3 linked regions of the Canis lupus familiaris genome follow. The protein of the gene in region 3 purifies or fractionates together with the protein of the main gene of each other region. This does not show direct contact. Links are inferred from orthologs where the notes say so. Each region holds a gene or a part of one and is shown on either strand. Other genes may lie near its edges.

Evidence for each region.
Region 1: the proteins of DNAJA2 (region 3) and LLGL1 purify together in Homo sapiens (co-immunoprecipitation; 3 studies listed by BioGRID and IntAct, with this or other methods). This does not show direct contact. The link is inferred for Canis lupus familiaris from reciprocal best matches to the Homo sapiens genes DNAJA2 and LLGL1.
Region 2: the proteins of DNAJA2 (region 3) and ENDOG purify together in Homo sapiens (affinity purification with mass spectrometry; 3 studies listed by BioGRID and IntAct, with this or other methods). This does not show direct contact. The link is inferred for Canis lupus familiaris from reciprocal best matches to the Homo sapiens genes DNAJA2 and ENDOG.

What each region holds. Positions count from the first base shown.
Region 1 is NC_049226.1:41,543,640-41,547,579, forward strand, and holds the start of LLGL1 (lethal(2) giant larvae protein homolog 1), read right to left. Parts: upstream 2,804-3,940; coding exon 2,723-2,803; intron 1-2,722. UniProt on the Homo sapiens protein: Cortical cytoskeleton protein found in a complex involved in maintaining cell polarity and epithelial integrity. Involved in the regulation of mitotic spindle orientation, proliferation, differentiation and tissue organization of neuroepithelial cells.
Region 2 is NC_049230.1:54,897,844-54,902,089, reverse strand, and holds the start of ENDOG (endonuclease G, mitochondrial), read left to right. Parts: upstream 1-1,443; 5' UTR 1,444-1,612; coding exon 1,613-2,122; intron 2,123-3,121; coding exon 3,122-3,231; intron 3,232-4,198; exon of another isoform or gene 4,199-4,246. UniProt on the Homo sapiens protein: Endonuclease that preferentially catalyzes the cleavage of double-stranded 5-hydroxymethylcytosine (5hmC)-modified DNA.
Region 3 is NC_049223.1:67,287,031-67,290,999, reverse strand, and holds the start of DNAJA2 (dnaJ homolog subfamily A member 2), read right to left. Parts: upstream 2,806-3,969; 5' UTR 2,689-2,805; coding exon 2,611-2,688; intron 1,117-2,610; coding exon 1,057-1,116; intron 731-1,056; coding exon 507-730; intron 1-506. UniProt on the Homo sapiens protein: Co-chaperone of Hsc70. Stimulates ATP hydrolysis and the folding of unfolded proteins mediated by HSPA1A/B (in vitro).

The sequences.
Region 1 (3,940 bases), on a different chromosome or scaffold from region 3:
GGTCCAGCTGTCTCCTGACCAGTGCCTCAGGAAGACATACATTTCAAAAGAAAACTGTGGTCCGCAGGCCTGTTGGCCCAGCCTCCCTCCTGCCTCAACTAATCCAGGAAGGGACTGAGCTCTCTCTGCAGCCTGCTTGGTTGGATTCAGGCTAGTCAAAACATTCTCGACACCTCAGTGTCCCATGTGCTCACTAGGGGCAGTGAGCCCACCTGAGGACAGAGTAGCCCATTTGGCTGGGGGTGCAGGGGGAGAGCTTCCCATGCTCATACCAGAGCTGACCAGGTCTAGCCAGTCCCTTCCTCTGCTCAGGACCCTCTTGGGGCTCCTACCTCACCACCTGGCCCCTGTCTGCCCTCCTCCTCCCTCCCTCCCCTAGCTTGACTGCTGGGCCAATGCCCTTCTGCTCTCCTCCAATTTACTAGGCAGGCTCCTGCCTCAGGACCTTTGCATCTACTGTCCATCTACCTGGACACCCAGCAGTGCCCAAAGAGGGCTCCTCTCCATTACTCAGCTCTCAGCTCAGGAGTCAACTCCTCAAAGCCCTCCCTAAACCACCCTGCTCTAGCAGCCTCCCTGTTCCCATACTCCTTACCCTCACCCCACTTTACTGTAACCACAGCACTGGTCATCATCCAAACTGCTGCACATTTTACTCTTTTGCTGTGGCTTTTTACTATATCCCCCATGAGTATATCAGCACCCCGAAGAGGCATTTGTCTCTCTTGGTCACTGTGGTGTCCCCAATACCTAGAAGGGGGCCCCTCACACAGTAGGAGCTCAAGATTGTTAAACTGACATAGAGTAGACATCCCACAGGCAAGCTATGGGCAGGACAGAGATTCGGATGCAAGACAGTCCAAGGTCCATGCTTGCTTCTGACCCTTCCCACCACTCGGGAATCTGGGATCTATTTGTTCTCTAGTGATCACCTATCTCCTCGTGTGAGCAAGCCCCTACCCCAAGCCTCACCCTTCCCACCAATGCCACCTACTCAGAATAGGGCCTCACTGGCCTTAGCAGGGAACCCTTGGCTTCTGCTGACCCAAGGCCAGTCAGGAGGAGCCCAGCCTCGCCACCATCTATCTCCACTATCTCCACTTCACACCCCGACTCACTGGCTGATGAAGTGACACCTACCCCCAGCATCCTTCTCCTCTCACCTCACAGGGGCTCTTGCTCACAGCCACCCAGCATATGAAAGAGACCAGCGGGGAGACCCCGGGCACCAGCCACCCTTCTGGGCCTCCCAGGCCCCTGCAAGTTCTCAGCCACCATGTCGAAGGCCCCAGCAGCCGCCATCACCAGGAAACCCTGCCTGCCCCAAAGGACATTTCCACCTTGACCACTTCAGATCCAGCCATCCTAGAGCTTTCTCTTAAACAAGAGTCTCCTGGAGTCTGGCTCAGGACTACAGCAGCCCTTCCAAAAACCCCTGCACCTCAAAGCTAAAGTCAAACCTCATCGACAAGGGTCCACGAGGACAGAGTGCCCCGACTCACTCTCTGACTCTGGGCAAGTCGTCATCCCTCTCTGAATCTCCATTTTCTCACCTATATGATGGGGATAGTAACTCTAATCCCCAAGAGCAGTGAGGGGCTGTGCAATCAGAGGTCTGGAGTAAAACTGAGCCCGGAAGCAACACCCCAGAAGTTAGCAAGGGAAAGGCTGGGGCCCGGATCAACCACGCATGGGTGCAAAGGTGGAGGGGAGGAGGGAGTGGAAGGTAGCCTCAGTACTGTGGCCCCTCTTGCCCTACCCAGGAAAAGAAAGGAAGGAGCAACCATCTCTCCACGTTGGCCCAAAGGATAGGTCAGCAGGCCCATGTGATACAGGGAGCCAGAGCAGGGAAAAAGGTGGCCCCGTTTTATAGCAAGGAAAACTGAGGCCCCAGGAGTGTATTCATCTACACAGCCAGGCATCTTCTCTGGAGCCCCCAGCAAAACAGGGCAGGGCAGAGCCCCCAAGGCAGAGCCCCGGGCCTTGGGGGAGGGGACGAAAGAAACAGGGAAAGGATTTCCCAGCCCCACCCCCCAACATCTGCCTCCGTTCCTCACCCCTCCCCACTGGCCTGGGTGCGAAAGCAAAACAAACTGGGGCCCTGGGCTGCCCCAAGGGCTGAGCGGGGGCTCCGAGGGCCCCCAAAGGAAGAGAGATAAAGAGACGGAGACCGAGAGCCAGAGTGAGAGTTCCAGAGACCTTACGGAGACACATGGAGGCGAAGAGACACGCAAAGACTCAGAGATGAAGAGACAGAGAGACGAAGAAAGAGAAGGGATACGCAGAGACACACAGGGACAGAGGCAGACACCCCCTCCCCAGACACAGGCATAGGATAGGCTAGGACAGGAGGTGATCACAGACCGAGGCGGGGCAGAGACCCAGGACATGTAAAGAGTCGCACAGGGACAGAGAGAGACACCGACCCAGGGACACGGAGACCCGCAGAGCCAGGGCCAGCGAGGCCCACAGGGACCCGGGGGAGCGGACTCGGAAAGTCAGCAGGGGACCCAGACCCACCCAGGGTCCGGGAGTGGAGCCGAGGAGGAGGCGAGAAGTGGGGCCCGCCGACGGGCGCGCGACCCGGCCCCCGCGCCGCGCCTCGGCCGGGCGCCCCCTCCCCCCGGGCCCGACGTGGCTCCGGCCCCCGCGCCCCCGGCTCGGGCCCCCGGCTCGGGCCCCCGGCCCGCCCCCTCCCTCTGCCCGAACCGCCGCGCCGCACCTTGTTGAAGGCGAAGAGCTCCTGCTTGAGCTTCTCGCGCTGCGGGTCAGCGCCCTGCCGCCGGAACCGAAACTTCATCATCTTGCGTCCGGCTGCCGGCGCCGCGCCCGCCGCCGCCGCCGCCGCCGCCCGCAGGATGCGCCGCGCGGCCCCGCGGGTCCTGAGGCGCGGGCGGGGCGCCAGGCGGCCCGGACGCGGGCGCGCGGGGCGGGGCCTGCACGGGGGCGGACGCAGAGCGCGACTGACGTACAACCCGACCAATGGGTGTGCCCCGGTGCCGCTCGCCCCGCCCCTGTCGGCCAGACAATGGGGGAAGACTGGGCCCCCGGGCTCGGCCGGGCTCGCGAAGGTGCTCCCGCCGAGCATGCGCCGCGGCGCGGGTCCTGCCGGGATTGTAGTCCGCGAGCCAGGCTTCCTGCGTGGGCGGCTGGGGACAAGCTTTGGAGGGGGCTGACGGGTGTTCCCGAACTTGGAGGAGGCCTTTCCTTCCCCCAGGGAGGAGCGGCGTGCTTATTCAGGTAATGAGGAGGACCTGCCCCGAGAGCCGGGAGAGTTCTGACAGATCCAACTTCTCGGCCCCCCAGCCTCAGTTTCCCCACCTACATTACGGCCCAGTGATTGCCAAGGTATACAGTTCCACGGGGCAGCGCTTTGTTCGCAAGTGTGCCGGAACACCTCCCACCACCGCGCTTTTGCTCCACTGGTGGTCAGTCAGGAATGCCCTCCCCAGTCCCTCGCCCCTGGGAATCTCCTACACATCCTTCAGGGTCCATCGTAAAAGGCTACGCGTAGCAGCGCGGGATTCACGGGCCATCCAGCTAGAGAGGGGCAGGTAAGAGGCCCTGCCTCCGGAGGTGGCGTTTGGGGCGAACCGAGATTGGATCTGGGCTCTTCCAGGGTGGGGGAAGGGCCTCCCCTGCACGCAACACTATATAAACAAAGCTGCACCCCGCCTCCACTCTCCAAGGGACTATCGGCCTGTCCCCACCCACCTCGAAGGCCGCCTTTTCTCTTCTGGACCGTGGCCTCAAGGCCGAACCTTTCCTTCCAAGGCTGAGGATAGGCTGCCCCCGCTCAGGGCTGGGCAGGAGGGAACTCCCAGGAGCTTAGGTGGGGCCTATGGGCCAGCACCAGCCGCCCCCCGCCCCGCCCCCCAGCTGTGTCCAGGGAGGCAGGCCCGACTTCTGATCCTAAGGTAGCTACCAAGCAACGTGGGGC
Region 2 (4,246 bases), on a different chromosome or scaffold from region 3:
TGACCTTGGAATGAGGGTCAAGAGCAAAGGACCCTGTCCAGATGAGGCTGTGCTCCCCAGTGGGATACTGCCTAAGGAAAGGACGGACCCTTGGGGATTCCCCCTCCTGAGATTCTCCAGGGAGTGCCCTGAGAACCAGAGGGCCTGAGGCTTCCCAGTTGGGAAGCTGCCCCCAGGACTTTGGACACTTATAGGTTGGGCTGTACGAACTCAGCAGGTCTCACTCTCGAGTCAGAATGTGAGTCTGCTATTGTTCATTAGTTTTATTCCTTGAATCAATGCTGTTGATGACAAGTTGTCTTTAATAAATCATGTGTTCTTTGCAATGGGCATTGGTGCTGTGATGGGCTGAAACCTTTTGAGACCTTAGAGGAGGGAAAGTTTGAGTAGGGATGGAGTCAGGAGGCTCTGAGACTCGGCAAAGAAGGTCAGGAAATTCTTTTTGGAAGAGCCTGTTCAAGTCTTCTCATTCAACCACTGCAGTTTGCAGCTGGAGGCCAAAGGCCAGTGAGCTTGGGACAGAGGTGCTATGCACTTGATTACACAGCAAGTTGTTTTTGAGATTGACGAAACTGAGAATTCAAGTAAATAAAATGCATACTACCCACAATCTAAAGAAAATCACCAAGAACACGTTAGTTTTTGCTACATCGTTGTCATTTTCTTGATACAGTTTGTGTACTGTCTCTTCCCTCCCTTAGGTGGTAAGCAAGTTGCTGTATGATTTAAAATATATTTATGTGCTATATAGAATTCACACATGCTAAAAACGTCTGAGTCCAGCCCCTATCTTGGACTATTTTGGTTATTTCAGCCTTCATTATGAGTAATAATACTGTGGAGAAGGGTTTCTGTTCAAGATCCTTGCATTCCAGATTCATTTCCCCAGCTCAGTCCTCTAAGTGGATTGAGAAGTATGAACCTTTTTAAGACTTTTATATATACTGCCAAACTGCCTTCTAGAATCGTGCCAGTTTTTCTTCCAACCAGCAGTGAGCATCAGCCCCTACGCTGTCCTCTTGCCGCTTGTTAAAACATTTGCCAGTGTCCTAGAACTTTTGACTTAACTTTGTAATGTTAGGGGGGGTGGATTTTGGTGTCAGGCAGACCTGGGGTCTTGTCCTTGTTTCCTTGTTCTGCCAACTAGAGACTCCGTCTCAAGGCTCTTTTAAAGATTAAGTCTAGTACTGGAAATGGTAGTTCAGTACCTAACACTTGGCGCTCCTGAAGCTGGAGCTCCTACCACCCGCGGAGGGGCCTCCTGCTGCCCGAGGGGGCTGGGCGGAGGGCGGGGCTGGGCGGCGGCGGCCAATCACGAGCCGGGGAGGTGGCACGCCCTCCCCCCCCCCCTTCCGCGCGTCTTAAAAGGGCAAAGCAAGGGCGCCGGGACGTCAGCTCGGCGCCAGGCCTCACCCTCCGTTGGGCTCCCCAGTTCCCCGAAGCGCCTGTGAGTAGAAGCGGCGGGCATCCCCCGCTCTCACGCCCCTCCCCGACCCCCTCCCCGCGGTGGGCCCCGCAGTCCCGCGCAGCCCCTTTAAGAGCCTCGAAGGTCGCGGCGGCCCCCAGGCGTCGGCGACTGCGCTCCACCGGCGCTCGGGCCAGGCTCCCCGCCATGCGGGCGCTGCGGGCCGCCCTGACCCTGGCGCTGGGCGCGGGGCTGGGCGCGGCGGCCGAGGGCTGGCGGCGGCGGAGGGCGGACGCGCGGGCGGCGCCGGGGCTGCTGGGCCGGCTGCCCGTGCTGCCCGTGGCCGCGGCGGCCGAGCTGCCCGAGGTGCCCGCGAAGCCCGGGGCCCCGGCGGGCGCGAGCGAGCTGGCCAAGTACGGGCTGCCGGGGCTGGCGCAGCTCAAGAGCCGCGAGTCGTACGTGCTGTGCTACGATCCGCGCACCCGCGGCGCGCTCTGGGTGGTGGAGCAGCTGCGGCCGGAGCGGCTCCGCGGGGACGGCGACCGCCGCTCGTGCGACTTCCGCGAGGACGACTCGGTGCACGCGTACCACCGCGCCACCAACGCCGACTACCGCGGCAGCGGCTTTGACCGCGGCCACCTCGCCGCCGCCGCCAACCACCGCTGGAGCCAGAAGGCCATGGAGGACACCTTCTACCTGAGCAACGTCGCGCCGCAGGTAGCGCCCGCGCTCGCCCCCCTGAGCCTCTCCGAACCTCGGCTGCGAAGCTGCCGAGTGCGGGCGCCGGGTCAGGTGCCTGGCTGCTCACCCCGCGCGCCGGGCGGGAGGTACACTGCACGGGGCACCCAACACCCGCCTGCAGTCCGACCTCTACTGTGCGCCTCTGGGCACCTCCCTGAGCTTGTTTCCTCGCAGTAGCGCGGAGAAAGAAGACGATGTACACATAAAGTACCGAGCTCGCTTCCTGGCCGGACGCACTCAGCATGCATGCATGCTAGCTGTAAAGAAGGAACTGAGGCAGGGAGGCCAAGTGACTGGCCCATTGTCACACAGCAGGAGACCCAGGCAGTCGGTCTAGAGGACCTTGAGCTTTCAGCCATTGTCCATACTCTGCCTGCCTCCCAGGAGCCAAAGGAAAGTAACTTGCAAAGTCCGCTGGTAGCCATCACTGTGTGCCCTCCGCGGAGCAGGGCCTGGAGACTTGCCCCCTGGGCTCCGGGTGAAGCTAATGGGGTACGAGGCTCCTAGGACTTCTGCTCTCCAAGTGCTGCAGTTGCCTGCCCACTTGACCAGACACTGGAATGAATGCTCAAGAGCGGGAAGTCAGGAGCAGCCCCAGCTGGGCTCTGCATGTGCTTCAGATCTAGAAAGGAAAGGAGAGGGTAGGGCTAGAGAGCTGGCCTTCCCAAGAGCTCCTGGGCATGGGGGGAGGGGGGCTCAGGAGGAGAGGCTTGTTTCTCTCTCTGAAGAGGAGAACTGCCCCTTTTCCTCAGTGTGGCTCTTTGGGGGTGAGAAACGGTTTCTGGCTCCACCCTCATGGCCAGGTGGCCTAAAGGCGTCTCCCTCCTTGAACCTGTTACCTCAGCACACTTGCCCACCCCATGCTTGCCCACCCCTTTCCCCATTGGACTGTCCCCATTTGGTGCCAGTTCCTGCCCATGTGACAACAGGGGAAGGGCCCCAGCCAGTCTCCCTGAGCCCCACCTCTCCAACCAGGTGCCCCACCTCAACCAGAATGCTTGGAACAACCTGGAGAAGTACAGCCGCAGCTTGACCCGCACCTACCAAAATGTCTATGTATGCACAGGGCCGCTCTTCCTGCCCAGGTAAGGCTCGAACTGGGGGGCCCCGGGATGCCAGGGTCTCTCCCATACAGTAGAGGCCCTCCTGCCACTCACAGCATCCAGGCCTGCCTCAACCTCTGGGTCCTCATGCAGTGCCAGGTCATGTCATCTGGTTTCTTGGCATGTCTGTCTGTTCTGTGCTTCAGGCCCCCTAATTCCAGGACTGTAGCGAGACCTGTGGGGTACCCACCTGGATCGTCTCTCCTGCCCCCAGCACCAGGCCCCAAACATGTCTCTGCTCCTCTCTTTTCTCACTTCTTGCCACATACACCTGACTCTGTTTCTGTCCAGATAGAAAAGCCTAGCTAGCACCAGGCTCTTGCCTTGTCTGCTCTGCTTGGAGCAACCCTCCTCACCCTTCTCCTGGAGCCACGGTGTGACCTCCACCTCCTCAACCCTGAGCCTTCACTCTTGTCTCTCGGCAGCCCTGCCTCCCAGGTAGAAGGGACCGAGCTCCCCTGGGCATGCTCAGTGATTTTTCTGGCCCAATGAAGACTGAGATCAGGGAGGCAAAGGGTTGTGGGGAAGCCGCTGGCTCTGGAGTCCACAGGTCTGAGAGAGAACCTAGGCCCTACCACCTGGTCTCTGGATGCCATGGGCAAATGACCTCCATATTCTCTCCTGTAAAATGGGGATAACAGCTACTTACTACCTACCTCGTGGTTGCTTAGGGGTAAAGTGGGGTGCTGGAGGTCATTGTAGTGAGTGCTTAGGATGGGCCAGCCGAGGCACTGATAATCAGCAGGTGCCTCCTATGGACTGTTGGAATGGAGTAGACCCTGCTGAGGGGAAGACTGGAAGTCCCTCATCCTGTGTTCTGGACCCCAGGCCCTGTGATGGCACTGGGAATTCTGGGTCATGTGCCTTAGCCTCTTGAAGCTCCCTCACCACAGGGGAGGTGGCCAGTGATCATGCGTCTGTGCGAATGAAGGTGAATGCCCACAAGGCCTGAATCTCTCAGCAGCATTTATTGCCACCACCCACCCTTGCTTGGCCC
Region 3 (3,969 bases):
GGTTCAGTCTAAGACCAAGGTCAGACACCATTCATATGTTGGCAGGTTAAAGTCAGGCTAGAAGCCAACAAGCTCCATGGAAACCAATTTAGGAGAGTTCACACTGAGGATCAAGTAATGAGTGACTGTAACATGTAAACAAACTAGTCAGTCACTTACTTTGTAAGTTTTTGAATAAAAAGTAACTTGGAAAATTTAAATACTTAAAAGAAAATAATCTTCAAAATTGAAATTTTAAATCATATAGTAACAAGTGGCTTCAGATCAATATTAACAAAACCAGCTGCCTACTCAGTAGAAATATCAACCACCCTTTAAGATCTGTAGCAAAATAACCCAGGTTATCAAATTCAATTTAGTCATCCAATGAGAACAGTAAGGAAATGAAGATTTTTTTTTTCTGACAACGGATGGAACATTTTTGATGCCTTTCTCATTACTAAGCATTACTACTTGAAAAAATTGTACTTAATTAAAAAAAAAGAAAAAGAAAAAAAGATATTCACTTAAGTGGATGCATCATGTCTTCTCCTCTTCTTCTGCCATTTCGACTTCTACTCTGATTGCCCATGAAGCCGAACAATCCTCCACCAAAAATGTGAGAGAAAATATCATCCATGCCACCACCTCCACCGCTACCTTCCCGAAGACCTTGTTCTCCATATCTGTCATATAATTCACGTTTCTCAGGATTTGACAGTACTTCATATGCAAAACTGATTTCTTTGAACTATAAAAAAAAAAAAAAAAAGTAACAAGGAAAACAATTGGGTTTTCAAGTAGAGGAGTGGGGGAAAGGCTACAGGAATCTGGAATTTAGTTATTCTAACAAAAGCTATAAATTACCTTTGGTTTGATTCTGGTCCTACCTCCCACCCACCACTGCCTGGAATGTTAGCATTCCCATTACAAAACCAAAATACTCTTTATGTAAAAATTTGGCTGTATGGGAACAGATGGGACTTTTCTTTACAAACATTCCTCTTTTTTTCAGGGAGGGCAATTTAAAACTGAAACCTCATGGGGGGGGGGAGGGGGAGTCCTCAAATAACTTACTTTGTCACCAGCATTTGGATTCTTATCAGGATGGTATTCCTTGGCTAACTTTCTGTATGCCTTCAATAAAAAATAAAAAACAAACAAAAAAGGTTACATACAAAATCTAATTTAAAGATTTAGGAGTACTAAATATCCCATTTTTCTGAGAGGCAATGTTTTAAAACCATAACTTTCCAAAAACATCTTTTATTCACTGAGATTGACAATCTGAATTCGTAAGCTGAAAAAAATAGCTCGATACTGTTTACTAATTTATCCACCTCAATACTGTTTACTCGCTAACTTGATCCAGAAAAGCAGACAGAAACTATACTAGAACCATGTCAGAGAAAAACAAAATATTGGAAAATTCCCTATTTTCACTATTGTCAAATGCCTTTGAAGGTTAGTAACCAGACGAAAAAGAGGAGTCCAATGTAGGCTAAAGAAATGATCCTTAAGTTTGTTAAAACTCCAAAATCAAGCCAAAGTAAGAACCTCTGGTCAGGATGGCTCCTGCCTTCCCTGTAATTGAAACATTAGGACAAAGTCAAGAGAAGCTCCTTTTATTTTTCCATACGGTGGATTAATTGGAGGGGGCTCGGTCCTCGTGAAGTTGCATACATTGAGGTGGCCAGGACGTGCAGCACTTAACTCTTCATTCACAGACACACCAATTATATAATACAGACTAGCATTTCCGGTAAGGTAACAGGAAGTCCATTTTACTCTCAACTCTACCCCGTCCCAGTGCCTAAGGAGCATTCTCGTTTTCTCAGCGTACGAATCTGTACGCTCTCAGCTCCGTGAAGACGGCGTAGCGCTTAATCAGATGCCGCAGGAGCTTTGAAATCCCGAGATCAAAGATTCGCAGCATTGCAGACAGCAATAATCAGACCTTATGTTTATTTTTAGTCGGTGTACACTCAGGTGTTTGGCTGGGACCCACGGCTTGCTTATTCCTGAAGCGGGTACAGAACAGCTAGGTTACCTGCCCACAGAACAATACACCCAAACAGAGAGCCACGGGTCAGTGGGAGGAGGCGGCGGACAGGGAGCTGCTGCTGCGGCACCCGCGAAACATTCCCCAGCCGCCCGGAGGCCTCGGCGGAGGCGGCCGCGACCCTCCCGCCAGGCCCTAACCCCAGCCCGGGCTCGGCTCCGAAGCCCACGACCGCGGCGTGGGCAACTTGTCTCTCCAGCGGCCGGGGATGCGCTGCGCGCCACTGTCCAACCTGTTTTTCCAGGGTGATGACCTCCGCGCGGGGAGGGCCGCGCAGGCTGCAGCCTCCCGGGAGCGCCCGGCCTCCGGCGCCCGCCGGGGGAGGGAGGAAGGAAGCGTTCCCGTCGTGTTTGCGCAGGGGTGGGTTTTATTTGCTGCATTTGCAGGCGGGCGGGGCCGGCGGCCCAAGGTCAGCCGAGGCCGGTCCCGCTGCCGCCGCCGCCGCCCCCCAGCCTGCGCCCGCCGCGGCCGGCGCCGGCTCGTGGGCAGCCCCGTAGCGCGGCCTGGCCGCCTCCGCCGAGCAGGCCCGTGCCCCTCACACCCTGCCCGGCCGTCCCGCTCCCCACTACCTTCTTCAGCTCGTTCTCGCTGGCGCCGGGAGGGACGCCGAGAATGTCGTACAGCTTGGTGTCGGCCACGTTCGCCATGGCGGCCGGCCGGGCAGCGCTCAGGGAGGAAGGCGACCGAGCGGACGGAGCGCAGCCAGGCCCACGGCGGCGTCGGCGGCAGCGCAGGCCGAGGAAGACAGCGAGGGGGAAGAGGGGCGGGGCTGAACTTTGACCCGACGCACGGCGCGCCGTGACGTCGCTGCGCGGAGCCCGCCCCCGAGCCCTCGGCCGCGGCCGTTGGGGGTCGCGGTGGTGAAGCGACCGGATCTGGGCTCGCTTCTCCTCAGGGTCCTGCGGGTGGGGCGAGGTCCGGCGTAGAAAGCTGAGAGAACTGTGACGCGCGCTTTCCAAGAGTTCGGCTCTCTGCGAAAGGAGTTTCTGGAGGGTGCGGAGGGGATGAGGAGGCCGCCCCCTCGGCCAGCTTCGGCCCGGCGGGCGAGAAAACCGGGCCGGGTCCCCGCCGTGCTCCGAATCCGAGATGCCGCCGGTGGACCCTCTGCGTCTGGTTCCCTCCGGGCCTAAGATGAAAACAGCACCCGGGTGTGTGTCTGTCTGTCGTGTGTGTGTCTTGTAGTAAGGAATTTTTAAACACTCACCGAAAGCAGTGTGTTGCACCGAAGAGGACAGCTAACTGCTGTTGGCTGTGTTTTACCGGTTTTGTCTCATTTATCTCCTCCCGCCCATACCCCCCTAATCTCGGGTGTTTTAAGAGAAACCGTCTTATTCATAAGTATAAGGTATATACCTAACATGACTTTTTAAGGCCAAATCAACATCTAATGAAATTAAATCCGTCATCTAATTCCTAAGGCCATGTTCGGATTCTCACAGTTGCCTTAATGACCTTTCACAGTAGGTTTGTGGCCTCGGAATCCTAATTAAGGCCGACGGGGTTGCGTTTGGATCACGTGTCGATAGCTTTAAAATTAGCCAACACCGGAGCTCTTGAGGGTGTAAGGCAGCCGGGCAGGACACACAGTCACCTGGTGATCGGTCCCCGCTGATTTACGTTCGTTTCAGAAGATGTTTGCAGGGCGCCTACCACGTGCTGTGATGTGCAGACGCTGGGACTGGGGGAGGGGAGTGTTACAAGAGAACAAGCCGGAGGGCCTGCCCTCGACTCCCTGACGGGGCGGGGGGAAATGCGGTGTTCTGACCCTTTGGAACCTGAACTGGTAGTAAAGACTGCAGCATAACCATCTCACTCAGAATAGGTCTTCCTTGGCGGCCCTTCCAGCCTGGTTGTGGAGGGCCTTGAGTACCATGCCAAGATGCGTATCCTGAAACCCTGGGAAGTAATCGATGGGAAGTCCTGGTACT